7 linked regions of the Rattus norvegicus genome follow. The protein of the gene in region 1 purifies or fractionates together with the protein of each later gene. This does not show direct contact. Links are inferred from orthologs where the notes say so. Each region holds a gene or a part of one and is shown in the gene's direction. Other genes may lie near its edges. The genes, in order: Snrnp70, U2af2, Gemin5, Syncrip, Snrpb2, Mrps26 and Larp7.

Region 1 (3,834 bases):
TAATATAAATAATAAACTATGAGCCTTCTTCACTCAGATGGAGAGACATTTTAGCCTATGTGAAACTTTGTGCAGAATTTTCCCACATGTAGTGCATAGTGGTATTTGTTATTATTTGTATGAGGTTCTGAGACATGGTCTCAACTGTGAAGCCCAGGGTAGCCTCAAGCTCATGGTGATTTCTCCTGCCTTAGCCTTTAGTGAACAAGCTGTTTGTTTTAACTCAGTTTCTGAGGTTTCAGGCTATGGTTTGACTAGCCCTGTTGCTTTTGGACTTGTGACAGTCAGATATGAAGAGTGGTGGAGGGAAGGAGTTTACCTCCTGTGCAGAAAGTGTTTTATTTTGAAAGATGCTGTAGACATTGTAGCTATGTTTGGCTACTTTGTGGGTTCTTTTTTCTTTCTTTCTTTTTTTTCTCGGAGCTGGGGACCGAACCCAGGGCCTTGCACTTCCTAAGCAAGCGCTCTACCACTGAGCTAAATCCCCAGCCCCTGCTCTTTTTTCAACCCTTATCCTTCCACCCTTTCAACTCCCTAAAACTACATAAGTTGGGGGGGGGGGGATACAGAGGAGTAAAAAGAGATCCCTGAATAAAATCAGGGGTTGAAAAGGACACTTACCTGCTTGCTGATTAGGGGCATTGAGTTCCTTGGGGCAAGTTTGATCTTCACCATTAGGATATATCATTTCTTCTTCTCTTTTCTTTTTGTGCCTAACAATCCAACAACCTACCCTAACCTGACCTCAAGAATTCAAATACCCTCTGAAAAGTTCCCAGAATTCCAAATGTCATACAATCACAGAAGCTTATCTGCAGCTGGCAAAACCATGCCTCTTACAAAGCATGAAGCAAATCCGCTGCTTCAAAGCAGCCCTACATCCTTGCATCTGGGATTAAAAATGAAAATATGTTCTTAGAATATTTCTCTGTGTGTGTGTGTGTGTGTGTGTGTGTGTGTGTGTGTGTGTGTGTGTGTGTGTGTGTGTTTAAAGATCTCTTTATTTTATATATGTGAGTGCATTGTAGCTGTCTTCAGACACACCAGAAGAGGGTATCAGATCCCATTACAGATGGTTGTGAGCCACCATGTGGTTGCTGGGATTTGAACTCAGGACCTCTGGAAAAGCAGTCAGTGCTCTTAACCACTGAGCCATCTCCAACCAAGCCTCGGTGTTTTTTAAAGTAACCCAAATTACAGAATTCTCGCTATAGACTTTTTTTATTGATAATTAATGGCCTAACCTATTGTTAGGCTGTGATCCAGCAGCTAAAGTCTGTGTCCTGCTTTGCAGTAGTCTAACCTGTAATCTATACCTACTTTAACAGCCTAGCATGTGGCTGACTTCTCTTTGCCTGTGCTCCTATGTGAAACACAGGTCCACCTCACTCCTTCCTTGCCAAGTTACTGGGGCCCAGTGGCTCATTAGTCCACCCCATCTGAAGATGAGACTGCCACCTGCTCCCTAGTGCTAGTGTTGTGTACCCAACACCTTCTAGACCAGGTGTTAAATCTGTGCAAGTTTAAAGTCTTTTTGTGGCTTGTCAGAATCTGGGGAGGTGTGGGAGTGCTTTCCTTGAACAGTTGTGGAGTTGCTGATGGCCTCTAACAGTTCAGTGCAGCATGGTGTAGTGTGATGAGCAGGGCAGGGATCTCGAGACTGACAGGGAAGTAGAAGGTACAGAGACAAGGAAAGCAAGGTAAATGTTACATGGCTGACTGATGCGAGCAAGAGGCAGCTGAGAAGGCTGGAAATTTAGGATTCCCTGGGAACCTAGGTATGACAGGTCTTCCAGCTTTTCTGGTATTTGTTGTTTTTTGTTTTTGTTTGGCTGGCCTGAAGCTCACTGTCGGCCAGGCTCCCTCTGCCTCTGAAGTATGGGTTAAAGGGGTGCAATACCAAACCTAGTTACTTTCAGCTTTTCTATAAGTTCATACTTTGGACTTTGTGCTCAAAGTACAAATTGGTAGTGGACTAGGTTGACAAGCTTGGGAGGCAAGAAGGTTCTTGTTCAGGTGTCCCCAGCTCTAGCGTTTTGTGCAAAACCTTGCTGGATAACATGGCTGTCCTACAACCAGCGGACATGGAGATGATTGGCATGAGATTATATATACCCTGTGGCAGTGAGTAGAGGCGCTTGTTTTTTGTCAGCTGTGTAGGCCCCTTTAAGATACTCCCTTTTGGGGTTGGGGATTTAGCTCAGTGGTAGAGCACTTGCCTAGGAAGCGCAAGGCCCTGGGTTCGGTCCCCAGCTCCGAAAAAAAGAACCAAAAAAAGATACTCCCTTTTAAACTGTGTCCACTAACGCTGCCATGTTCCTTTACTTGGCCCACAGGAGGTGGCCTTGGTGGTACCAGAAGAGGTGGGGCAGATGTGAATATCAGGCATTCAGGCCGAGATGACACTTCCCGATATGATGAGAGGTAAGGTTGGGCACCTGGTTTCTTGGGACAGGGCAGTCACAAGGGGGTACCCTTCCATGCAGTGCTAACCTCATATAGGCCGGGCCCCTCCCCGCTTCCACACAGAGACCGGGACCGGGACCGCGAGCGGGAGCGCAGAGAAAGAAGCCGAGAGCGAGACAAGGAGAGAGAAAGGAGACGCTCCCGCTCTCGGGACCGGAGGAGGCGCTCTCGGAGTCGAGACAAGGATGAGCGGCGCCGATCCAGAGAGCGAAGCAAGGACAAAGACAGAGATCGAAAGCGTCGAAGTAGTCGGAGCCGGGAGCGAGCACGCAGGGAGCGGGAGCGAAAAGAGGAGCTTCGAGGCGGAGGAGGAGGTGGTGGTGGTGGTGGTGGTGGCGGCGGCGGAGGCGGTGGAGGCGACATGGCTGAACCCTCTGAAGCTGGTGATGGAGCTCCTGATGATGGGCCTCCTGGAGAGCTTGGCCCTGAAGGCCCTGATGGCCCTGAGGAGAAGGGTCGGGATCGAGACCGGGAGAGGCGTCGAAGTCACCGAAGTGAGAGGGAACGCCGTCGGGACCGAGACCGTGACCGGGATAGAGAGCACAAGCGTGGGGAGCGGGGCAGTGAGCGGGGCAGGGATGAGGCCCGGGGTGGGGGTGGCAGCGGTCAGGACAATGGGCTGGAAGGGCTAGGTAGTGATGGTCGAGACATGTACATGGAGGCCGAGGGTGGGGATGGGTACATGGCCCCAGAGAACGGATATCTGATGGAGGCAGCGCCTGAATGAAGAGGCCTCTGTTGTGGACATGCTCCTGCCTTGCTGTCTGCCTTCCTAGCCTTTCCACCTTGGCTTGCCCTCTGAGGGCAGAGGTTTTTTGTTCTGATCCCTTGGATTTAAGAATAAAATTAATTTCCTGTTGATAGTGGGCACTTGGTGTCTTACTACACTTCATACTGTTCAGCTCCACTTGGTATACTGTTCCTAGTGCGTGTGTTATAACCTGAATTAGAGGCTGTTCTCCCGGCCACCATAGCTGCTTTACAAGTGAGATAGGGAAGCCCTGGCTGCATCTTTCTGAGAGAACAGTAGGCAAAGAGGCAGGGTGCCAGCCATTGACATTTCTGGAGGGATGGAAGACAGCTGGGAGAGTTTTGAGTGTGGCGAGCCCTGAGGAAGCAGTGGCTAGCCTGGCATAACCCTGAAGAAAGGCTGAAGGCAGTCCCATTGAGAGCTGTCTGATAGTACTTCAATCTGCTGCTTAAGGCCCAGTCTTTACATTTAACCAAGGATAGATACCACCAGAGAGCTGAGGAACATCTACCACGGATAGCTGGTCCTGAAAGTGACTTTCACTCGTTGCTGTGTTTCCCACATTTTCAGGTAGGCTTATGGTTTTGCTAAGAGCATCTTACTGCAGAAAGCTTGGA
Region 2 (3,500 bases), about 27 Mb from region 1:
GCCCCCAGTATTGAGATCACAAGCATGTGCCACATCACAGTTTGACATCCTTTTGTAGTAGGTGGAATTGTCATTTCACAGAGGAGGAAAGCCAGCAGTGATGATTAATAATTGTTCTTGGTCGTGTAATTCATAGGTTTCCTGGGCTGCACAGGTTGGCTTCAGAGGGAGTCATAGCTCAGCTTTTGTACTCTTTCATGTTACTTTCTGCTGGAAACCATGTAGATAATGTCACAGTTGCTTTGGATCATGCTGCTAAGGGGCAAGCCTCTTGCACAGTGAGTCTCTGCACCGCTGTGATTAAACAATAGAAAGATCAGTCCTGAGTCTCTTTGGGATGTGCCTGCCTGTGCTTCCACACAAATTTACTACTTTGGAGGTGGTAGCACCAACTGGAATTCTGCCTTCAGGTCCTGGTCTTGTTTTTTGAACTTCCTCTTCCAGAGGAGGAGAACAAAGGTCACTATATAAACTAAAGAGGGAAAGCACTTGATGAAATCTACTGAACGTTGATGATAGAGTTAAAAGATTTGTAAATCGGAAGGCTGACTTTGTCCCTGGTGAGAGAGTAATGGACTGATCACTTAAACTGACATCACCTGTAGTGGAAGCTGAGCTGCATTCCCCCAGAAGTGAGTTCTTAGTCACCAGTGTTAGCTCCTTGTATTCCTGGGATTAAGTGGCACAGAATGCTTCTGTGTGTGCCCTGTTAGTAGTGTGGTCTCCTTGTTTTCTCTGGTGTAGATAGCAAAGAGTTGAAGTCAGGGCAGCTGGGTTGGGCTCTACCTTGTGCTCCCTCTAAGGTAAGGTACAGTGATTACCAGATTGGGCCTGGGGTCCGGTTGCTGCCTTGTTGCTTACTTGTCAGAGACTGCTGCAGAGCCAAGCCTGCTGAGCTGCTTTAGAAGTCACCTTTTTCCTGTCTCAGAACTTAGAACTTTACTTTTTGCTTTAAGTTAGGGCTTTTGTACCTGAGGTAGATTAACTCTTTAATTTTATGTGTATGAGTGTGTGTTGCCTGCATATAAGTATATACTGTATGGATGCCTGGTGTCCAAGGAGGTCAGAAAAGAGAGAGTCAAATTCCCTGGAGCTGGAGTTATGAGTGGTTGTGAGTTATCATGTGGGTGCTGGTAAGCTGAACCTGGGCCCCCTAGAAGAGCAGCAAGTGCTTTTAACTGCTAAGCCATCTCTCCAGGCCCAGATAGGTTTTTAAAGTAGTTGTGCCTGACCTATGACAGTACTGGTTATGGCCTGGCTGTTAATGCTTCTGCTTGTCACAGTTGCACTGTAGCTTAGGTCTGTTGTGGCCTAGGTGACTTGACTACTGGGGTACACTTCTGATGGTTAGAAATAGCTGAATTGATGCCTGCAGTTCTTTGGGGCACATCACACCCTGGAAGACGGATGGGTCACAGTGACCCAGGTTCTGGGGTGTGTCCATTCAGTATCTTGATGCTTTTGCAGATTAGGATGGACCACTGCACTTGGCATGGGGGAGAGCTGGAAAGAGGGAGGTTACTTATAGTGGGACTTTGGAATAGAGAAGTTACGCTGGACTGATGCAGGGGCCTGATAATGACTCTTAAGAATTGAATGATGGTGAAACTTGTGTGGTGTGCTAAGAAGCATCTGGCCATCACTTATATGTGAGTTGAATAGAGAAGAAGGGAGTTTTCCTCAGGTGATACCACTATGTAGTTATATTGGAGCTTTAATGGATCCTGAACACAGCTTCGCAGAGTTGACCACTAGTCATCATGACAGTGGTAGCCAACACTGAGGCATGTTTTGAGACTCTAAGCAGCCTCTCAGCTCCTTGTCACATTACCTCAGAATGCAGGTCACCCCTGCAAGGGCTTATGGACCCTGTGACCTTGAAGGCAAAGGGCTGAACAACAGAAGGAGATGAGATGTTCCTGGGTGGTTGTCAGTTCCTAGGGAATGTTTCATATTCAGTTGTTGATTGGTCAATGCTCATGTACTTGTCAGAATATGGGGGTGGTGTGGCTTCCTCCTACCTTTATTTATATGATATCTTAAGTAGGATAAGACCTGTGAAAGGGCTCGTTGTAGATTTTTTTTTTTTTGAGACTGATTGTTCTGTCTTAGCCTCCCAAGTGCTGAAAAGACACGTGCGTATGTCACCAGTTCCATCTTTCTTCCTTTTGTCTTAGGAGTTGTATCCACTGTAGTCCCAGATTCTGCCCATAAGCTGTTCATCGGGGGCTTGCCCAACTACCTGAATGATGACCAGGTAAATCCTCTGCTCTCTTGCTAGCTACCTTTATCAGCCTGACCAAACCCTGATGAATTTTTGGCCCCTTGCAGGTAAAAGAACTGCTGACATCCTTTGGGCCTCTAAAGGCCTTCAACTTGGTCAAGGATAGTGCCACAGGGCTCTCCAAGGGCTATGCCTTCTGTGAGTACGTGGACATCAACGTTACAGATCAGGTGAGCCCAAGTGTTTAGCTGCTTGCTCCATCTGCCCTTCTTAACCCTACTTCATTTCTTAGCTTAGGGGTCCTTTCCTTGGGCTAGGGTGGGAGGTGTTTAGTGGGGATTCATTTCTTTTCCTTTGGTTTTGCCTCTTTTCAAACTTAAAGGCCCTTTGCCTTCTACTCTTTCCTTGACAATGCCTGGTTCTTTGGGGGAAGTGCTGGGCCCCTTGGTTCCTGACTTGTTCCTTCCCTGCACCCCTTCCACCCTTCATCCTCTGACCATAGGCTATTGCGGGGCTGAATGGGATGCAGCTAGGGGACAAGAAGCTGCTTGTCCAGAGGGCGAGTGTGGGAGCCAAGAATGCCACGCTGGTGAGCCTCCCGGCACGTCATCTTCCATTGGCTAGAGGGACCCTGGGGGTGGGAAGGGTTGGATGGGAAGGTTTTCTTGAGTTCTGCCCCAGTTTTCATGGGAGGGGATTTGGACAATGGGTTCATAAGTGTTTTAAGTAGAGGAATGGTCCCACTAGTTGGGTGTAAGAGGCACAGGCTTGAATGGAGGGAGGCTAGTCTGAGCCATTTTGTGACAAATCTGTTCTCCCTGACCCCACAGAGCACCATCAATCAGACACCTGTGACCCTTCAAGTGCCCGGCCTGATGAGCTCTCAGGTGCAGATGGGCGGTCACCCAACTGAGGTCCTGTGCCTCATGAACATGGTGCTCCCTGAGGAGCTGCTGGACGATGAGGAATATGAGGAAATTGTAGAGGATGTACGAGACGAGTGCAGCAAGTATGGGCTGGTCAAATCCATTGAAATTCCTCGGCCCGTGGATGGCGTCGAGGTGCCTGGCTGCGGAAAGGTCAGGGTGCCTTTATTTTGTGTACACACCCCTTACCACCCTCTGTCCCTCTCAATACCTGTCTAGTTCCGGCCAAGGGTGATGCAGAGGACCCAGAGAGGATCAAGCTCGTTTGGGAGACTGGGGCCTATAGTGGAGAAATTGGTTTCTGTATTGATGTAACTTATTTTTTTTCTTCTTATGTAATCCTTTTGCAA
Region 3 (3,500 bases), on another chromosome or scaffold:
TGCAGATCTCCGTGTGTAAATAAACCTGGAGGAGCTCATCGTACTCACTGACTGCACCTGCCCGCTGCCTCCACACCACTGCAGCACCCTGACCTGCTCGCTGTCCCTTATGAAAAGGGCTCGAGAGCCATTCTACTGCAGCACTGCCCTCTTTGCATGTCTTCCCTCCCTCTGCCTTACCTCTCTCGGTCACTTTTCCTTGCTGTGCTAGGGATCTATCATAGTTTTCTACTGATGTAGACACATGACCACGTTAACTTACAAGAGAGAGTTTAACTTGGGATTCTCAGTTCCAGAGGGTGAGTTCATGACCAGCATGGTAGCAGGCAGTCAGGCACGGCACTGAAACAGTAACCGAGAGCTCACATCTTGACCCGCAAACATGAGGCAGAGAGAGCTAACTGGAAATGGTGCTGGCTTTTGAAGCCGCAAAGCTCACCCCCAGTGACACACCTTCATCAAGGCCACACCTTCCTAGACAGTTCCACATAGAATTCATAGCCTATGGGACCACTCTCATTCAGACCGTCAGAAAGTTCCATGGGTGCTAATAATCCAAGTAAAATCCCCAGGTCTGTATGCAGTGCTTTAAGTGTTTGTGTAGAACCTTAACTTTCTCCCTTTTTGCTTAAAAGCTATTTCAAAGGGATATGTAATGAAACAAAATTGTATTGATTTAAGTAGGACTAAATCACCCCATAGGCTGACTAGTCATCCTACTGCTAGTTAAGGTGTGCGTTAAGGTGGAAGATAGCACTGTTAGGTCGTCAAGCTGGGGGGTTTTGGTTGGTTGGTTTGTTTGTTTGTTTGTTTGTTTGTTTGTTTGTTTGTTTGTTTGAGCCAGAAAGATTAGTACCATCTCTCAGAGTGTTCTAAGTGTATCCAATTCTTCAGTAGTAGCATAGCTCTGTCAGCCACAGTTCTGGAGTTCTGAATCCATGCCTAGACTAAGATTGACACTAAGTCATAACAGCACTGCCTTTTCCTAACAAGTCCATCTCCCTAGACACCCCTAAGAGCAAGAGCCCCTGAAAGACAGTAAAAGGCTTTAGTTGTCTTCAGATTTTATGCAGTGTAATAGTGTGATGCTGGCTAGTTGGCTTGGTGGTGTATACCTCTAATCCCAGCATTCAGAAGACAGAGGCAGGTGGACCTCTGTGACTTGCAGGACAGCCAGATCTACATAGCGAGACCCTGTCTCAGAAAGAGTGAGGGGAGCAAATGGCAAAGCATGGAGGTGAAGTGGCCTCTCATCTTCAGCCTGAGGTTGGGTGCTTGTGGTTGTCACAGCCTCTGTACTTTGACATTGCTTTGCTATGGGCTAGACAGAAAAATCATTCTAGGTGGCCCCCTGGGTGGGTAATGCACTAGGGACTTGTTTTGGGAGTGGACATTATTTTTTTTGGGGGGGGGGTTCTTTTTTTCGGAGCTGGGGACCGAACCCAGGGCCTTGCGCTTCCTAGGTAAGCGCTCTACCACTGAGCTAAATCCCCAGCCCCAGGAGTGGACATTATTATATGGTAAGTTAAGTGCTTGCTTTTTAGAACTAACTATTTTGGACAAAGGTAAACTGTTTTTCTCTAATATAAACAACCACATGTATAGGAAAGACCTTTCAGAGGAAGATGGTCTGTTTTCTAGTGGGCCTCTTTCTTCAGATCATCCTGTTTTTCTCCATCCACAGACCTCCACAGATTTCAAGCACATATCATAAGAAGACCGTATATAGGTTGGCTTGGGGGCCACCAGTGCCCCCCATGTCACTTGGTAAGTGTTTGAGTCATTCTTAACAAACATGAGTATATTTTTCCACTTTAATTCTAAAGCCTGAAAGCTGAGGTCATAGATGTTCTAGTATAATCACTCTGTGTGTGTGTGTGTGTGTGTGTGTGTGTGTGTGTGTGTGTGTGTGTGTGTGTGTGTGTGTGAGAGAGAGAGAGAGAGAGAGAGAGTATCAGACATAGGTGGTCTTGATGGCTAAAGGAAAGCCTTGACTCGTGCCTCCCTCAACTCTGAAGTATTGCTTTTCTCTTTGAGCTGGGTCTTCCACGGTTCAGAGTAACCTGAGGCTAGGTGCTGGCCTCTGTCATTGCTGAGGCCTGTATCTTTCTCTTCTGTAGCCCTGCCTCTCCTTTTCCCACCCTGGCCACTGCTCCTTTCCCTAACATAGTATGACTTTCTTATCTTTAAAATGAGTCAGAAGTTTCCACACTCTGGCTTACTGTGCTGAAGTGGCTGGATTCCTTAGCTGTAGTCTTATGCAGAGAGTTGCCTTGCAAATAGGACAGCTCATAACTAAGGGCTGTGCCTTGAGACCTCTCCCTAGTTGTGGGAAGTTCTGCATTCTATGTCTGTACAAACATTAAGAATCATTTCTGGAAGAAAAACGACTTGGTCATTTGAGACCATGACGTTTCCTCTGGTCACATCTTTAGTGTCACTGCTCCTGAATGTCAGAAAGCCTGTACAGTGAACACAGTATCTCAGAAGTTAATGATACCTTTTCATCTGCCCACCCTGTCTAGATTGGTAGGAGGGTGGCTTTGTCCCATCGTGCTGGATCACTTCCCACACTAAGCCGTATTCGTGTTCACAATGCTGCACTGTGTTAACGACGTGCTGTGGAAGCGGTGTGGTGAAGCGAGACACTTCACTCAAGAGTTTTTCTTTCATAGGAGGGGAAGGAGACAGGCCTTCCCTCACCTTGTACAGCTGTGGAGGGGAAGGCATTGTGCTGCAGCATAATCCCTGGAAGCTCAGTGGAGAGGCCTTTGACATCAACAAACTCATGAGAGACACCAACTCCATTAGAGTAAGTTCCAGTGGGCTGAAGCCCACTCAACCTCCTTTGGTGTTTCAAGGCCATCTGTAATGATGCCCATCATGCTCAGCCAGACTTCTCAGACAGTTGATTGAGCTACTGGGGAATTTGTGGGCTGCCTGCTCTCCCTTACAAGTCATTATCATTGAGTAGAGCAAAGAATTAAGTGGAGGGGAGCAGCTTAATTGCAATGATGATAAAAAAAATCTTATGTATCTTCACTGTAAAGTGGCCTTTTTGTTTTCTTTTTAGATGTTTCTTTTTGAGACAGGGTTCACCGTATGTAGTCATGGATGGCATGGGACTCACTATGTAGGTAGCTGGCCTCAAATTCAGAGATTAGCCTGCCTTTGCTTCCTAAGCGCTGGGAGTAAAGACAAGCGTCCTTTTGAAGCTTCCCCTTTCAACTAGAGTGCTCTGCTGACAGTGACAGTGTGTGGTTGTGCTCAGGCCTCATCTGCTCTTTTCTTTCGAAGCCCAGGCTGGCTTCAGTTTCCTGATCCTCCTCCTCAGCCTCCCAAGTGCTGAGCAATACACAAGCCCAGCAATACAGAGAACTCTTGGGTCTTCTGCCTAGGCCCACACATTGAATTACATTTGTTTTAACTTTGTGTCAGTGGATTTGAATGACTTGACTAGGTTTGTTCTCTCCCTCCCCTCACCATCACCCCTGCCCTCT
Region 4 (4,271 bases), on another chromosome or scaffold:
TTAGGTCAGAGATGAAGAGGAGAGGTTTCAATTGGAAAATTCTTGACATTGCCTAGGGAGCAGCACTTTTAAAGGAGCTCTTGTATTCAGGGATCATTAAATAAGAACTGTGTCAAAGTTTTCCCCTTGTTTAATCTACCGTCTATTACCATTTTGGTTGTTTTTCATTGATATCATTATCCAGACTTTTGGGGTACAAACTACAATATTTTGCTGAATTAATCAAATACCATAGCAGGGATATGTTTCGTAGTAAGGGATTTAGGTGGTGGATAGCCAGAGCCGTATTAAACAGATTTTGGGTAGACAGTACTTCAGAAATATTTCCTATTTGGTCCACTTGTCAACAGAAAAAAAAAAGCCCTATTTTATGTATTTAGGCACTTTGTACTGTTTATTTAACTTTCCTTGGACTACTGGCTTGTTATTACAGCATAAATCTATGTTAGATTTTTTAGAAACAGTAGCTTTCTCAATATATGTATGTATATATATGTATGTATATGTATGTATTCTTTTTTGCAAACAGGATGTTATTTTACATTACAGCTGCTCTGCATAAAATTAGTATCCATATCGCCTGAGACACAAACGCCTTTGTCTTGTCTTTCTTGTCCCTAGTAAATGGTTACAAAGGAAATGTCACTTCACAGAACATTTAATTGCCAAGATGCTTGAAAAGAAACACATTTTCCTCATAGTTGTCCTAATCACGCAGCTTTCTGCTGCTTCAAGTTGTTCAAAGTGTGCCAGGAGGAGCACTTAACCGCTTAAAAGGCCAGGGACAGAAACGGAATATTGCACAATCCAACACCACCGGGCCGGTTAAGCTTCCAAATCTGGCCTCGGTGTCATCCCCGGGTGGGAGGAACTGGGATTTCCTCGCGAACCCGCGGCGCCCCTCCCTTTGCCCAGGGTATTCGTGGAAGCCGAGGACGGCGCGCGCCGGGCCGCGGGATGCCCCATTGTCCAGCGGCGGAAGCCGGGGCTCCCCGGGGTGACTCCCGAACTCGAGCCCCGCCACCCGGTGGCCCCGAGTTCCGCCATCCCCCGTGCAGCTCCCCTCCCCCGCAGCCCCATTGTCTGCCTCGCCTCGCCCCGCCCCGGGGGACACGTGCGCCTGCAGCTTCTCGAGCGCCCAGGGCGCGGGGCGGCGGTGGCAGCCTGGGCAGAGCGGTCAGCCAGCGCCGGGCACCCTCGGAGCCCCGACTCGCCGTGGGGAGGTGGGGGCGGGGAGGACGGGGTGGGGAGATGCTTGTCTCCTGACAAAGAAGGAGTGGGACACACAGCCAGCCGGCAGCCCCGCCCGCGGAGCGCGAGGGAGTGTCCGCACAGAGGGCGGGTCTCCCATTCACTCGGCCCCTCACGGTCGCCGCGGCGGAAGGGCGGGGTCTCTCCCCCCCCTACCAGCACCTAGGGGCGGGGCGAGAGGCGGGGCCCACGGGCGCGCGTCCTGAGGCGTCGGCTGCGTCGTCACGTCAGCGCGGGAGAGAGAAAGAGCGACTCGGCAGGGACTGGGGACGGGCCGAGAGAGCTAGCGAGGGAGGGCGTGAGCCAGAGAGCCAGCGAGGAGAAGGGCGGCCACTCGTGCTTGAGCGGCCGCGGACGGGAGTGGGAAAGCTGGGGGAGGAGGTGCAGGGAAGGAAGGACGAAGACCGAGAGGACAGGGCGGCCCACGGCCGGCAGAGGTGGCAAGGGGAGAAGGAGGAGCTGTAGGAGGGCAGGGGCTGAGGGAGTGAGTGAGAGAAGCGGACGCGCCAGGGAGGGGAGGGAAGGGGGGTCACGCGGGGGCGCGCGCGCGCACTGGGAGCGCGCTCGGAGGCGAGTGGAACTGGATCGGGTTTGCTGCCAGCGGCGTGAGCTTCGGCCGCCATTTTACAACAGCTCCACTCGCGCCGGACACAGGGAGCAGCGAGCACGCGTTCCCCGCCACCCGACCCGGTCGGACAGGATTCCTCGGCCCCAGCCCCGCGGGGAGGTAACGACGGCCGGCACACGGGTGTTGGGGAGGGGGGAGCTCCGTGACATTTTGGAGGGTGCTTGGGGGAGGGCGGCGCGGGGAGAAACCGGCTTTTCTGGAAAATGGATTCCAAGGGGGAGAAGAGCACGTTGGCCGGGGCTGCGAGAGAGTAGGCCGCGGTCGCGCCGCCACTTCCTCCTCTCCATGTGCTGCCGGGTCTGGGCTTTGTCTGCGGCGCTCCGGGAGGAGGCGCCTCGGCAGCCCCGTGGCCCGAGCGGATCGCGAGCGGCGGCGGACTTGGTGCTGTCGTGGCCGGCGGCGCGGGAGTGGGCGGAGAGGCGCGGGTGCTGTCCCGCGACCGGCCGGCGGGCTTGGGCGGTGCTCGGCTCCCGCGGGCGTGTGCTTGGCGGCGGAACGCCCTCCCGGCGCGGGCTGTCGGCCTCGGCGCCGCAGCCACTGCACCGAGGGGTGCGGGAGGCTGGGGGTCGCGGGCGCACGGGAGCGCCCGGGGCGGAGAGCCATGTGTCACGGCGGAGACGGCGGCGCTGGGGGGCGGGGAGAGCCCGTGGCCTGGCGCCGCCGCGGCCTCGCTTTTGAGGGGCGAGATGTGCGGCTGCAGTGTTCGGGGGGCTCGGACCCCGATTGCGGGTTGATGTTGGGAGGCGGTCATGACGGTCTTGGCCTGGTACTCGGTGGGTTTCCGTTGAAGGAAGTTGTAGGACATTTGAAGGCGCAGAGCACGTGTTTCTAATGGGCTCCTGGCGGCTGCAGTGGCGTTGCTGCCGCTCCGGGTGCGGAGTCGGGGGCGGGCTTTGGGGTGTGGGGGTGAAGGGTGGAGGAATTGGGTGGTGGGAAGGTGGCTTGTGTGAGCGCTTTGTTCTTCGCTGGCTGTTGTTACTGATCTATAAGCGGCAGGCGGGAAAAGCGCACTTTCTGGTTTACCTTGGAGAGAGACAAGCCCAGCGTTGCTTGCTTCACACACCTTATTCTCCGTTTTGGAAGTGCTGCGTGTGGCAGGCTGGGCCGGTCGCTGTGCTGATTGGGCTTCATTTGTAATAAGGTTTTTCTCAGTGAGTGTTAGTTAGCAGGTGAAGTGAGGGGTGGTGCTCAGGAAGAAAATAGTGAATCGGTCCTTCTGTACCCCGGGCTCCACAGTCTGGCTTGTCAGGCGATAGTGACTTTAAGGTTTCTTTCAAGGGAGGCTCAGGCTGACTGGTTGTAGTCAAGTGGAAGAGAAAGTAAAGATTGGGACTGTCATTGTCCTCTATTCTGTTTGAAGATCCTAGTTTAATTTTGCTTATTGCGTTTGAACAGATCTCTGGAAACATGGCTACAGAACATGTTAATGGAAATGGTACTGAAGAGCCCATGGATACTACTTCAGCAGTTATCCATTCAGAAAATTTTCAGACATTGCTTGATGCTGGTTTACCACAGAAAGTTGCTGAAAAACTAGATGAAATTTACGTTGCAGGTAAGAACTAACACTTGCAAAATTACATTATGAAATTTTTCTATTGGATTTCTGACTTTGAGCTAAAATAGCAACTTTTTGTGGTTTCCAATAAACGTGGGAACTGGAGCTTGGCCTTGTTCTGATAGTTGGTTAATTTAGGTTTGAGGTAGAGTGTAGAGGGAGGGATGAAATGAGGGGATAGACCTCCCTAGGGGAAGGCTGTCTGGCCTGATGGATAAGTATATGATAGTAGCAACAGCTGCTGAATGTTGAGAGCAGCCCACGTGACTTTTTGAGGTATTTTTATAGCATGATTCTTGTTTAATAACTTGGTAACTCTAGGCTAGTTCTCTTGTCTTTCTCGGTGTGGTGGCTCCTTTTTTCTAGTGGTACTTGACATTGAGGAGAGGTTCAGTTGTTAGGCTTGGTGTTTTGTTGGTTGACTTTAGGATTTGTAGGCTTATATATTTACTGTAGAAATATTGAGTGTTCAGGACTACTCGAACACAAAACAGGATGTAAAATAGGTTGACTCCTTCTGTGGTTGAGAGGACTTATGGCTAAAGTAGGTGTTTCATTATGTAGAGGAGGGGAGGATAAGGAGGGTAGGTAGAACCATTGTCATATGTGTACCTGTATGGGTAAATACAGGACTCTGAAGAAATAGTTTAGAAAATTTAAAAGATGATAACTCACTAAACTTTTTCTTCTCCAGGGCTAGTTGCACATAGTGATTTAGATGAGAGAGCTATCGAAGCTTTAAAAGAGTTCAATGAAGACGGCGCATTGGCAGTGCTTCAACAGTTCAAAGACAGTGATCTCTCTCATGTTCAGGTATGTTAATTTAATGTCAGT
Region 5 (3,962 bases), on another chromosome or scaffold:
CCTTGCATGTTTATAAATTTTCTTTTTAAAAATAGCTATGACCTCTCGGCCAGATCAGTTTATGTCACACAGGCAGGTTATATCTTATTTCAGCGCTCTCCTTGTAATGAAGCACCAGCAATCAACTGCTCAGATCTTCTCGTTGCTTAGAAATTATTTTATATTTACTTGATGTTCTTTTGGTAAAAACACACTCAATATTCAATATTTACAAAAACCAGACTGGTTTCTTTATCTACACAATTAAAGGACACTTTTCTGTGGTTGTTTAACATTATTTCCTACCCACATTTACAGGATTTTCATTGGCTATCACATTTGATTTAGTATGGCCTAATTTTCACGAAACTTCATTCATTCATTCATTCATCCATTTATTGAGTGTAAGTCATTCTCCTAATTCAGTGAGCAAAGGGGATAAAAATGACTACTCTAAAAACACTATTTCCGTCCTGCAACTTCATGTGGCTTTCAAATATTAGAACACTCAAGCTGATAAAATCAACTGATTTGGTCCCTGACCCAATTTTTAGCCTAGAAAAATCCAGGCATTTTGTGAGGATAAGGTGGGAGAGAGGGCGGGAGTTAACCGTTTCTAAATGAGTTTAGGCATGTGATCCTTAGTTTGCTTTCTCCTGAAATCTGGTGAGAGTACCAGCAAAGACTCACGAATCTCTTTGCTCTAGGGTCGAAGACTGGGCTGCATCTAAGGTGCAATCTGTAGAGTGCTGGAGTGTTCTTTCAGACTCCCATTGATTGACTTCAGGGAGTGACAATGGCAATTCTACAGCTGGTATTAAGCCAAGTTGGGCAGAACCCATAGAAAGGCTTGACTAAGTTGCCGCTGGAGACACGCTCCTGTAAAATTTTTCACATCATAAAGTTGGGAAACTTCAAAGTTTCAGTAATGGAAACGATGCCCTACCCTTCCCTTCTCTGCCTTCACTCCTTGACCGCTGTATCCTAAGTTGATCCCACCCAGTTCTTCCCCTTTCCACTATAACCTCCAGGCTACGGGAATGCGCATGCGCAGAAAGATTCTGCCGCTGGCGACCCTGGCGAGGAGATCTCGATTGAATCGGTGCTCGGCTCTTCGACTTATCTGAGTTCGATTGAGGAGTGTGGCGGTCCTCTTCCGGCGCTGGGAGCCTCTTCCGGCTTTAGCTTCAAGCGGACCGCGCCGGCTTCAGGTGGGTTTGCCGGGGTCTTCCTTGCTGTGGCTGGTCTCGGCCTTTGGTGGGATCTGTCCCGTCCGGACTGAGCCAGCCAGAGCGAAGGTGTCGTTGGTTGCGCGGTTCCGGGCTCCGCGGACGCATGGAAGGAAGGGACGGCGACCCTAGGGCTGGCGGGTTAAGGCCCGGCGTCGTATCCTGTTCTCTGCGGGATGGTTGGATTTTTAATGTCCGAGGACCCTAGTGTTGGGCAGATCAGCAGGTGTTTAAAGAGGCTCGAGCTGACATAGAAATTAGCCCAAGGAGAGAAAATAGCACGTTGCTTGCTTGGAGGCGGGGCAGGGTGTACAGTTCTTTGTGCACTCTCAGTCTCCCTCCGACCGCCGGCAGCCTTTTGGGTTTCAGGTGCCCGCAGGAGCTAATGCCAGAGCCTTTGTTCTTGTCCCTCAGGTGAGACACCAGCCCTTCTCCAGGTTCCCATTTGGGAGGCAAACCTTTGATAAACGTTACTTATCCGTTACCTACATAGTGCAGGCCCTTCCTGTAAGTAACACTCTGATGTTCAGAACAGCTTGTTGTATGACATTGGACACTTGCGTCCTTTAACGTGTAATAGCCATCGATAATAAATAGTAACTTTAGGTGCTTACTGACGCAGACTGCTAGATGTCTGTCTCATAATCTTATGGGCTTCATTTTATAGGCGCAGTTAGTATCCATAATTTGTAACTGAGGACTTGAGACATTAAGGAACTTGCCCCACCTCGAAGCAGGTTGTAAAAGCATAGACAGAACTTGAATCTGTATATTATTGGTACAAGAATATGAGTTCTGAATTATCTTTCTAAACTGTCCATTGAGTTACCTATCTGTCTGTCTGTCTGTCTATCTACACACACATAAATAGATTTGAGGGCTGTCGAGATGGCTTGGCAGGCCTTCTTGATTTTTGCTACTTGACCTTGCCCACTTTGAGTTTGGCTCTTGTGACTCACATAGTGGACGAAGAGACAGAAGTGAAAGCCCCTGAAGAGACAGAAGTGAAAGCCCCTGAAAGGTTGTTCTCTGACCTCACCATACACGATGGCACTAGTAAACACATACATACACACACACACACACACACACACACACACACACACACACACACACTAAACGTTTCAATAAATACATTCGTGAGTGAATCCATGAACTGTGTTTTAATTTGTATTGTTTTATTACAATTTTTTTAAACTACGTGTGTGTTTACTGATCTTTTATAAAATGTTCAACTCATTTTACTGAAAAACTTTTCTGGTGAATATGATCAAAATACATCGTATGACATTCTCAAAGAATTAGTAAGTATACTTTAAAAAGTTACTTCATTCTGTAGATGAAAGGGCAATATCATTTAAGTGGGGCTTAAGAAAGAATAACCTGAATAATGTTTCTAACTCTGCCTATGTGCTGACAGATTCTACCAATTTGTAGAATCTTGGTATTGTTCTACCAGGCTTTGATCTTGGGAGCTATTTTCCATTTGTCTAAAAGAGATGGTTATGAAGTTAGGGAGGAATTACTGTCTACTTCAGCTGACGTTTTCTGATGTCAGTGGTGGAAAAATAATGGATCGGCTAATAGTTGTTGGTTTTGGCTATGCCATAACCTGCATGATTTAACCCTCCTTGCTAATAATAGGTTATTTATTATTTCTTTTAGGCTACTTGAAGAGTTTTACCCAAACATGGATATCAGACCAAATCACACGATTTATATCAACAACATGAATGACAAAATTAAAAAAGAAGGTATGTTCTTTTAAAAACCGCTTTTTCACAACTAACATGCGGTTATTCACTTGTGTCTTAGGAATGGTCTCAGTGTCTCCTTTAGTCATCTTGGTGTTCAACAATGGTTTATCCCATTTTTACACACTTTTAAGAATTTTTAATATAAGAATTTGCAGGGATTGTGTGTTTTGAATGTTTTAATTCACAAGTGGCTTCAAATAACTTTTCTTTTCTTTTCTTTTTTTTTTTTTTTTTTTTTTTTTTTTTGGAGCTGGGGACCGCCTTGAACCCAAGCGCTCTACCACTGAGCTAAATCCCCAACCGGCTTCAAATAACTTTTAATTGGGTAGCCAATGGGAGTAGTGTGTTTTTGCTAAGTCAGTATAAATAAATGAATGGTAAGGGTGCTCATTGTATTGTTATTTTATGAAGAACTTAATTCTTGTTTCCTTCACAAAATGTTTTCTTTCTTGTTTGTACAGAATTGAAGAGATCCCTGTATGCCCTGTTTTCTCAGTTTGGACATGTGGTAGATATTGTGGCTTTAAAGACCATGAAGATGAGAGGGCAGGCTTTTGTTATATTTAAGGAACTGGGCTCATCCACAAATGCTTTGAGACAGTTACAAGGATTTCCATTTTATGGTAAACCAATGGTGAGCTGATCCTATTATTTCTACTGTAGTCATTATTGACCGGTCAATAGATTTTTTTTTTTTTAAGTGAAGAGTTAATACTAAGTTATTGCTTTCTGTGTGTTTGATTTTGTTTGTTTGTTTGTTTGTTTAGAGATTTTAGGGATATTTTGTAGCTATTTTATTTGTTTTGAGAAAGGGTCTCTGGTACCCTAGGCTAGCCTTTAACTTGTTATATTGCCAGGGCTTAATCCTTTAGACTCTACTCCCCAAGTGCTGGGATGATAGGAGTGCACCACCACACAAGGTTTATATGAATATTGTTATAAATACACACTACTACAGCTGAATTAACTGTTAATTTATTCTAGTTAAAATGAGCAA
Region 6 (3,618 bases), on another chromosome or scaffold:
TCTGTCTGTCTGTCCTTCTACCCATGAACTGCCCAGAAAAGCCTCCTTTCCCAGCTTTGACAATTCTATCTCGCCACCTAGTGGGGAGGGTCACAAATGGACAGTTACTTCCACTTCCCCAACAGGTCAGAGAAAGGGGGCAGAGAACCTGCCTTCTAGTTCTGTAGCATTAGCTACTCAAAATGACTCCACATCTTTCATCCACCGTAGGCCTAAATCTCTTACACTTATGAAACCCTCTGAAAGAAGGATGAGTAGACCTGACCAGCCGAGAGAACGTCAGAGCCAGCAAGGTTAGGAAGCCTCTAGGAATGACCCACACCATAGAAATATTCTCTTTGCGCAGACACTGAAGTTATCTGAAATGAGATACTGGTTATCTAGGATGACCCCGAAGAAGAAAGGTTTAGGACAGGTGTGGTGGTATGTGCCTTTAACCCCAGCATTTAGGAGGCAATGGCAGATGGACCTCTTGTGAGTCTGATATACATTGTAAGTGACAGACCATCCGGAGCTATATAGTGAGACCCTGTTGCAAAGAAAGGATGGGAGTGCCACGTTCCCTGATGTTCAGAGCAACCCTGTGTCACTCCAGGGTAGGGTGAGATGAGAGGAAGAGGGTGCTGGCTGGGCCTCCTACGGGCCTGGAAGTTGGGAGAAGGATGTAAGCAGACTCTGTTCTCTTCTGAGAAAATATCAGGTATTGCAGTCAGCCCAGGCTCCTCAGACCCTCCTAAGTGCAGATTCTCTGCAGAATCTGGTGTTGACAACACTAATGAGTAGGATGAGACTTCAGTTCCCTAGCCCTCACCGTCAGCTTCTGATTACCAACAACTCTCCCAGAGGAGAGCCATCTACCTTTGGGACAGATGCTCTCTGCCCTGCACTGCCGCCTGTTTCTCTTCAATTGTAGAGGAGATAGTACTTTAAAAGCTTCATAAATGGTCTCAAGGTGGGAAGACCCCGGCTCAGGTGAAAGAGGACAAGCGTCACCTCACACAGGCCACCCAGTAGAAAACAAGTGATCACTGATACTGAGAACTCTGGCAATTGCAGAGCTGCCCAAGACCACAACAGGGCAGTGCAATGCAAGGAAAAGGTTTGTTGCTCGATTGCAAACCTAAAGTTTAAAGTGCATCAGGAGAACGCTTACTCAAAGAGGAAGTGTAAGCCTAACTTAAGTAGCTAGAAGCTCAGAATTTCTTGCATCAGCCCTGGAAGGGTACACAGGCCACCGGTGGGCCAGAGAACCACACGCTTTGGGGCGGTGTCCAAGCTTGTGAACAAGTAGGCAAGAGCGCCTGGTGTTGTAGCTGTCATTGGCGGGCAATACAGCCCAGCGAACTGTGGTCTCCAAGGTGCCCCTCGACCCTCCCACTCTACCCGAGACTCCAGGGACGCGATGGGCCAGACAGCAAGAGCTCCGCCTACGGGGGCGGGGACAGGAGATTCCCGTGATGCTCCTCGACCACTTCCGGACAGGGCGCAGGCGCTAGCTGTCATGTTGCGGGCTTTGAACCGCCTGGCCGCGCGGCCCGGGGGCCAGCCCCCAACCCTGCTCCTTCTGCCCGTGCGCGGCCGCAAGACCCGCCACGATCCGCCTGCCAAGTCCAAGGTCGGGCGCGTGAAAATGCCTCCTGCAGTGGACCCTGCGGAATTGTTCGTGTTGACCGAGCGCTACCGACAGTACCGGGAGACGGTGCGCGCTCTCAGGTGTGTGTAAAGGGCAGGCGGCCTTCGGCGCCCCCTGGGAAGTGCTGGGGCTGGAGGATGGGTGCTCACTTGAAGCCCGTCCTCACCCAGGCGAGAGTTCACATTGGAGGTGCGAGGGAAATTGCACGAGGCCCGAGCCGGGGTTCTGGCTGAGCGCAAGGCGCAAGAGGCCATCAGAGAGCACCAGGAGCTGATGGCCTGGAACCGGGAGGAGAACCGGAGACTGCAGGAACTACGGTGCGAGAGGCGCGGGGCTGGGTGGGCTGGGCTAGGCTCACCCACGGCCCCGCTCATTCTCGGCTCCTTTTTCCTCGCAGGATAGCTAGGTTGCAGCTCGAAGCACAGGCCCAGGAGCTGCGGCAGGCTGAGGTCCAGGCCCAGAGGGCCCAGGAGGAGCAGGCTTGGGTGCAACTGAAAGAACAAGAAGTTCTCAAACTGCAGGTGGGCCAAGGTCGTGAGGAATGTGGGTATTGGAGATTCCGGTGAGGGAGGCTCTGGGGAGAGCAGCACAGGGTGTCAAGTGACCAGTCTTCAGGAGGCTTCTCTCTCTGCTCTGCACGCACAGAGTGCCTCCCAGACAATGGTCAATGAAAGGTTACAGGCTAGTATTGCCGTGTGAAACTTGAAGTCAGGGAAACCATAAATGAGAATGGAGCTGTTTTTATTGTGTAAGGGAGAGTGACAAGGTTGAGAGAGTCCACCACCCCGCACCTCCCCCCCCCCCAATCAGGTTGTCACGATTCGATTCGTTCTTGGGTTGTGGCTGAGAGATCTGATGGGTAATTGTCCGAGGAAGAGGGATATAATGGTTGAGGTCACCTAGTACAGTTGTGCTGGCCTATTGGTGGGACACTCAAAGGGGCCCTGGGCTCTTTTGACACCCTTCTTAAGGTGGGCTAGAGACAGTAAGTTATGCAGGCAGCCAGCTCTGAGAGATCCCACGTAGCTAACCTTTCTCTTCCCGTAGGAGGAGGCCAAAAACTTCATCACTCGGGAGAACCTGGAGGCACGGATAGAAGAGGCCTTGGACTCTCCGAAGAGTTATAACTGGGCGGTCACCAAAGAAGGGCAGGTGGTCAGGAACTGAGAACAGAGGCCTCTCAGGCCCAAATAAGGACAGTGCTTGCCTAGGGACTGGATATTGGGGTAGAAATTGGTGCATCCCAGGAGGGTGGCACAGCCTTGTCCAGAGCAGCCCCCATTCATTCTAGATTTGGCACCAGGTATAGTACCCTGTTCTGACACCACATACAAACTCCGGACAGCATTAAACTCTGGGAAGTTCCTATCACACAGAAGATCAGACTGGACTGTCCCCTCTAGAAGCCAAGAGCTGTCTCCTGAGTTTCTTGGAATAGTGTGAGCCCAATGTTTCCTGCTTTTATAAATAAACTATTGGAACGCAAAGCCTTTTGTTATGTGGCTTGCTTTTTTCTTGTTGTAGAATAAGTTTATTTGTCCCCAGTTATTTGGGTCTTTAGGTTATTAGCCAAAAGCCAGTTTCACCTAACTGAGCCAGGAGTTAGTTATCTGCTTTGCTCAATCCTGGGCTTTGCTGGGTAGGGTCAGGTGTGTCCAAGGTCCAGAAAGCAAAAAGGGTGCCCCGTTTCTCCTGGAAGCTCCCCGTCAGTGATTTCTGTAACCGGACCCTGCCCTGACACAGCGTCATTGGACTACCCAGCAGACAGTAGACTCCACTCTAAACCCGCTTCTTGCGGTCAGTTGCTGTCCTTCAGTGTGTGTAAGCAGTGGCCAGACAGCACCCTTGGGTGTCATTTCAAGACTCTCTCACCTTGGTCTGCTTTACGTTTGGTTTGATTTGGTTTGTTCTGGTTTTTGAGACGAGGCCTTTCACTGGAACCTGGCACTCAGTATTTAGACTGCCCAGCCAGCTAGCCTCAGAGA
Region 7 (4,272 bases), on another chromosome or scaffold:
GGATCTGATGCCCTCTTCTGGTGTGTCTGAAGACAGCTACCATGTACTTATATATAATAAATAAATCTTTTAAAAAAATCTGTATGCACAGTACTAACAGGTTTTTTTTTCTATTTTCCATCTGAACACAGATACAGAAATTACAGATATAGAGGGCTAACTATACCTTAGTCAGTACAGCAAAGTATCCTAGGACCAAATATACATACGATTCCTCTGCAAGGAATTTTTCTTTCGTTTACCCAGTGCTAAGGGCTGACGACAAGGCCTTACGTAAATTAGGTAATAGTGCTTACACGTGTCCAGTCTTTGTGTGTGTTTAAAATAGGATCTGGCCAAGTTGCACAGTCCTGCTCTGGCCTCTGGAATAGCTGGACTATTACAAGCAATACTCCAGCACACCCAGGAAGAGAAATCTCTTAGACAGTGGTGCTGCACCTACTTTAACTATCCTGATAACTGGTTAAAAATATAAGGTCAAATTTTGAAATCTTGAAATCATCGATGGTGAACTGAAAATCGATGCCAAAGCAACACACACATGAGCACACATATCTACAAGTGGTTCCAGGGACATGACGTGACAACTAGCTATTACTAACTGGTAACATTTCAGGTCCAATTCTTAATCTATTACATTAGAAAGTCTGGCTCTGGAGCCCAACACACTGTTCTCACAAGTACTCACCAGTGAAGGGTGGCTCCCAACCCGGAAACAGTATGCGCAGAGGCCTGATCCTTAAGCAGCATAGAAAAGGGAAAGCACTAGAGAATGAGGATGAGGCAGGAGTCATCAGTAATCGGATGTATATGATCTTCTGTTATGCTGAGGAGAGCTTTCCATGAAAACAGCAGGAAGCCGTGGCATAACCTTGCTTTTAAAGAAAAGCTGACACAGTAGCTCAGAACAGCACGGCCCAAACCAGTAAAATTTCCAAACCACAAATAACAGTACAACTACCTAAAAGAAACATAGCTTTACTTGCCAGGACTTGACAAATCAAGGTTTTGTGTCACTAAATAATAATGGACCCTTGGTCCTTTATCAGCCCCAAAAACAACCACAACCGGGATGGGCCTCGACAGTGACCGCCTCACCCTGCATTCTAACGGCGTCTCGTGGGCGGTTTCTGTGGAGGCGAAGTCAGCGTCCAGTGCTCTCCCAACCGCGCCAAGTCGCCCAGTCTATTAACCCTTCATTGCCTAGAACACCAGAAAGTATCCATTTCACCTGCTCGATGACATGAACTCCACTTTCGAATTTCTCCCGCGAACTTGAGAGACGTCATCAAGCAGGGACGTTGCGGCTGAGGCCCCACCGCCACCGTTCGCAAACTACCAATGGAATTCCGCATCCGAGCGCAGTCAACGCGCTTCCCACACCCCCCCAGGTCCCGCCCCCGAGATGCGTCGCCTGTGACGTCAGTGACGGACACAGAGCCTCGGACCCGGCCTTCTGTAGTGGGCTGAGAGAAGCGCGTCGCTGGTCGGATGACGCAAATTTCCGCCGCCTGCTAGGGTCGGGAGACGGAAAGCGTGGAAGAACGCAATCGCTGACCGTGGATCTGAGGACGTGCACGGAGTAAGTCACAAGTGGCCTGTAGATCCTCTCAGACCGGGTGAGGTGGAAGCTCCTCTCAGTCTGGTATCCTGAGGTCCATCCTACATCTGTGGTCGGGTTCACCCCGCCCCCCTCGCCACTGTTCCGTTGGTTCGGCTACGTACTCTGTGCGCACGCGCAGTTCCCTGGCGGCCCTTGCAATTCGGATTGTAGTACGGAGGGGGCGGGCCGATCTTGGTGTTGGGGTGTTTGGGGCACGCCCGGCTTCTGGAAGAGTCTGCGGAAGTAGGGTTGCTCAGGGGATCTGTGGGTGGTAGACAGGTTGTCTGCCCAAGGACATCAGCTGTGAGAACTTGCATTTTAGAATTAAGTCTTTTGCTAGTCTTTCACCCTGTCGGCCCTCTACAGAAAATGCCTGAGGATAAATGATGAATTAAAGTTCTGAGTACATTTATGAGAAACTAAGGGAAAATATGAGTGGAGATTTCATTGAAAATGGAAGTCCTCAGGAAGTAAGACTACCTTTTATTAGTCTTTAGAAGCTGGGCGGTGGTGGGAAATCGAATGGCTTGCTAAAACATTCACACTAAAAGATTCATTTGAAGCAAAGTTGCAGGCCACTAAGGGGTTTGCTGTGACTACAACTTTGGCTCTCAATCTTTTGGGTACACTTCTTTTTCTTCATATCCTGAAAAATGTTATCGTCGAGTTCCTTTGGAAATTTTACATGTATTAATGGAAAGATTTTGTTTGTGACTTTACAAGCAAAACCTATGATTTTAAAATTTTTTGAATTTTTTATTACATGTAGCATAGCTTACATCCAGATTATGACATTCACTGTCTTTGAGCAATGTTACAACTTTTAACTTGTTGAAAACATAAAGATGAAAAACCATGTTTGCCCAAGTATGTCATTCCCTGACCAGTATATATTAACATTCATTTCAACTTTCTATTGTATATTGATCTGGTCTTTCTCCTTTAAACGGATTTGTCCTACTTAAGTTCATTCGCCATAGTCATTTATATTTGTGAAAGCATGGTTTTTGCCTTTTCTTTAAAAATCTGTCTTATAACATTTCATGGATTCCTAAGGTTTCTTTAAACTCCCAGAAGTGTCAGGGATTTCAGATTAAGAATTCCTGGGTCAGAATATACTGTGGATGGTGACAAGGTGGGGAAGCTTCTACTAAAAGGTAGACAGTGTAAGAGAAACATCAATGCTTGCTTACCTACCTAGCTTTCACTAAAGTATATAACCTTTCAGGCTCCCTTAAAAAGTTGAAAGAAGGGCTGGACAGATGGCTCAGTGGTTAAGAGCCCCAACTGCTCTTCCAGACGTCCTGAATTCAATTCCCAGCAACCACATGGTGGCTCACAACCATCTGTTACGGGATCTGATCCCCTATTCTGGTGTGTCTGAAGACAGCTACAGTGCATTTATATTTAATAATAAATCTTTTTTTTAAAAAAAAAAAAGTTGAAAGAAACTACCAAGTAATCAAGATTTAAACCATGTATGTGAATAGCTGGCATTGCTACACAGTAAGTTCCTTGTTCCGAGACCGTGGGTTTTGTGGATGGATTTTGCTTGTTTGTTTGATTGTTTGGAGGCAGGGTTTCTCTAGCTCTGGCTCTCCTGAGCTCTGTAACTCACTCTGTAGACCAGGCCAGCCTCAGACTCAAAGATCCACCTGCCTCTGCCTCCCGAGTGCTGCTGGTATTAAAGTTGTGTGACATCACACCCATTTAACAGTATATTATACACCAGACCCCCCCCCCTAAAAAAAAAGATAAGGAATTACTAATGTTGCAAATTAAGGAATAACCTTCACGGGCTGGAAAGATGGCTTAGCCATTAAAAGCTAGGCTCATTACCAAAAATAAGAAATAACCTTCACAAACCACATCAGTGTTATGGACAGGTAACACCTGTATCCTTCTGGAAAGGATAGGTGACTTCTGGTGCATATTATAAACTCATTATGTTGTAATAGCAGTTGTAGAAAACATTAAATGTGGATAAGAACCATTTTGAAGATCAGATTGATAGGATTTAGTGACTGGTGAAAAAATAACACAGCATCATGCTTTCCACAGCAAGCCCCCCCCCCCCCTTTTTTTAAGATTTATTTATTTTGTTTATGAGTACATTGCAGCTGTCTTCTGATACCAGAAGAGGGCATCAGAGATCCCATTACAGATGCTTGTAAGCCAGCCTGTAGTTGCTGGGAATTAAACTCAGGACCTGTGGAAGAGCATCAGTGCTCTTAACTGCTGAGCCGTCTCTCCAGCCTGAGAGTCTTTTTTTTTTTTTTTTAACTTATGTAATATATGTGTGTATGTCTGTCTGTGCACCATATGCCCACAGAAGTCAGAAGAATGCTTTGGACCCCCCCCCTTGGACCCAGAGTTACAGGAGGTTGTGAGCTTTGACGTCAGTGCTAGGAACTGAACGTGTGTCCAGGGCAAGAGCAATAAGTGTTCTTAACCGCATCTCTGCAGACTTCTCCACAGCTGCATTTTCTAAAGTGCTTAAATTACATTTTTTTATTTCATCTTCACAGCAACTATTATATAGATAAGATTTGTGTCTACATTTTCTGGAACACAATAATGAGAAAACTTGGTCCAAATACATACAGACATGGCTTGTGGTCAACTTGGTTGATCATAGTGTTAGCATTAGTGATGATAAATAGTTTTTG

The links.
Region 2: the proteins of Snrnp70 (region 1) and U2af2 purify together in Homo sapiens (affinity purification with mass spectrometry; 4 studies listed by BioGRID, with this or other methods). This does not show direct contact. The link is inferred for Rattus norvegicus from reciprocal best matches to the Homo sapiens genes SNRNP70 and U2AF2.
Region 3: the proteins of Snrnp70 (region 1) and Gemin5 purify together in Homo sapiens (affinity purification with mass spectrometry; 4 studies listed by BioGRID and IntAct, counting the BioPlex papers as one, with this or other methods). This does not show direct contact. The link is inferred for Rattus norvegicus from reciprocal best matches to the Homo sapiens genes SNRNP70 and GEMIN5.
Region 4: the proteins of Snrnp70 (region 1) and Syncrip purify together in Homo sapiens (affinity purification with mass spectrometry; 3 studies listed by BioGRID and IntAct, counting the BioPlex papers as one, with this or other methods). This does not show direct contact. The link is inferred for Rattus norvegicus from reciprocal best matches to the Homo sapiens genes SNRNP70 and SYNCRIP.
Region 5: the proteins of Snrnp70 (region 1) and Snrpb2 purify together in Homo sapiens (affinity purification with mass spectrometry; 5 studies listed by BioGRID and IntAct, counting the BioPlex papers as one, with this or other methods). This does not show direct contact. The link is inferred for Rattus norvegicus from reciprocal best matches to the Homo sapiens genes SNRNP70 and SNRPB2.
Region 6: the proteins of Snrnp70 (region 1) and Mrps26 purify together in Homo sapiens (affinity purification with mass spectrometry; 3 studies listed by BioGRID and IntAct, counting the BioPlex papers as one, with this or other methods). This does not show direct contact. The link is inferred for Rattus norvegicus from reciprocal best matches to the Homo sapiens genes SNRNP70 and MRPS26.
Region 7: the proteins of Snrnp70 (region 1) and Larp7 purify together in Homo sapiens (affinity purification with mass spectrometry; 3 studies listed by BioGRID and IntAct, counting the BioPlex papers as one, with this or other methods). This does not show direct contact. The link is inferred for Rattus norvegicus from reciprocal best matches to the Homo sapiens genes SNRNP70 and LARP7.

Annotation. Positions count from the first base shown.
Region 1 is NC_086019.1:104,992,018-104,995,851, reverse strand, and holds the end of Snrnp70 (U1 small nuclear ribonucleoprotein 70 kDa), read left to right. Parts: intron 1-2,336; coding exon 2,337-2,424; intron 2,425-2,502; coding exon 2,503-3,193; 3' UTR 3,194-3,334; downstream 3,335-3,834. UniProt on the Homo sapiens protein: Component of the spliceosomal U1 snRNP, which is essential for recognition of the pre-mRNA 5' splice-site and the subsequent assembly of the spliceosome. SNRNP70 binds to the loop I region of U1-snRNA.
Region 2 is NC_086019.1:77,793,792-77,797,291, reverse strand, and holds part of U2af2 (U2 small nuclear RNA auxiliary factor 2), read left to right. Parts: intron 1-2,177; coding exon 2,178-2,257; intron 2,258-2,331; coding exon 2,332-2,454; intron 2,455-2,726; coding exon 2,727-2,825; intron 2,826-3,054; coding exon 3,055-3,303; intron 3,304-3,500. UniProt on the Homo sapiens protein: Plays a role in pre-mRNA splicing and 3'-end processing. By recruiting PRPF19 and the PRP19C/Prp19 complex/NTC/Nineteen complex to the RNA polymerase II C-terminal domain (CTD), and thereby pre-mRNA, may couple transcription to splicing.
Region 3 is NC_086028.1:42,826,357-42,829,856, reverse strand, and holds part of Gemin5 (gem-associated protein 5), read left to right. Parts: intron 1-1,684; coding exon 1,685-1,767; intron 1,768-2,675; coding exon 2,676-2,812; intron 2,813-3,500. UniProt on the Homo sapiens protein: The SMN complex catalyzes the assembly of small nuclear ribonucleoproteins (snRNPs), the building blocks of the spliceosome, and thereby plays an important role in the splicing of cellular pre-mRNAs.
Region 4 is NC_086026.1:98,312,587-98,316,857, reverse strand, and holds the start of Syncrip (heterogeneous nuclear ribonucleoprotein Q), read left to right. Parts: upstream 1-1,471; 5' UTR 1,472-1,978; intron 1,979-3,274; 5' UTR 3,275-3,286; coding exon 3,287-3,434; intron 3,435-4,131; coding exon 4,132-4,250; intron 4,251-4,271. UniProt on the Homo sapiens protein: Heterogenous nuclear ribonucleoprotein (hnRNP) implicated in mRNA processing mechanisms. Component of the CRD-mediated complex that promotes MYC mRNA stability.
Region 5 is NC_086021.1:150,851,672-150,855,633, forward strand, and holds the start of Snrpb2 (U2 small nuclear ribonucleoprotein B''), read left to right. Parts: upstream 1-1,162; 5' UTR 1,163-1,190; exon of another isoform or gene 1,191-1,593; coding exon of another isoform or gene 1,594-1,622; exon of another isoform or gene 1,623-1,715; intron 1,716-2,873; coding exon of another isoform or gene 2,874-2,898; coding exon 2,899-2,962; intron 2,963-3,426; coding exon 3,427-3,599; intron 3,600-3,962. UniProt on the Homo sapiens protein: Involved in pre-mRNA splicing as component of the spliceosome. Associated with sn-RNP U2, where it contributes to the binding of stem loop IV of U2 snRNA.
Region 6 is NC_086021.1:138,220,870-138,224,487, forward strand, and holds Mrps26 (small ribosomal subunit protein mS26 precursor), read left to right. Parts: upstream 1-1,454; 5' UTR 1,455-1,501; coding exon 1,502-1,713; intron 1,714-1,803; coding exon 1,804-1,950; intron 1,951-2,030; coding exon 2,031-2,154; intron 2,155-2,680; coding exon 2,681-2,800; 3' UTR 2,801-3,118; downstream 3,119-3,618.
Region 7 is NC_086020.1:218,684,509-218,688,780, reverse strand, and holds the start of Larp7 (la-related protein 7), read left to right. Parts: upstream 1-1,472; 5' UTR 1,473-1,582; intron 1,583-1,934; exon of another isoform or gene 1,935-2,056; coding exon of another isoform or gene 2,057-2,073; intron 2,074-4,272. UniProt on the Homo sapiens protein: RNA-binding protein that specifically binds distinct small nuclear RNA (snRNAs) and regulates their processing and function.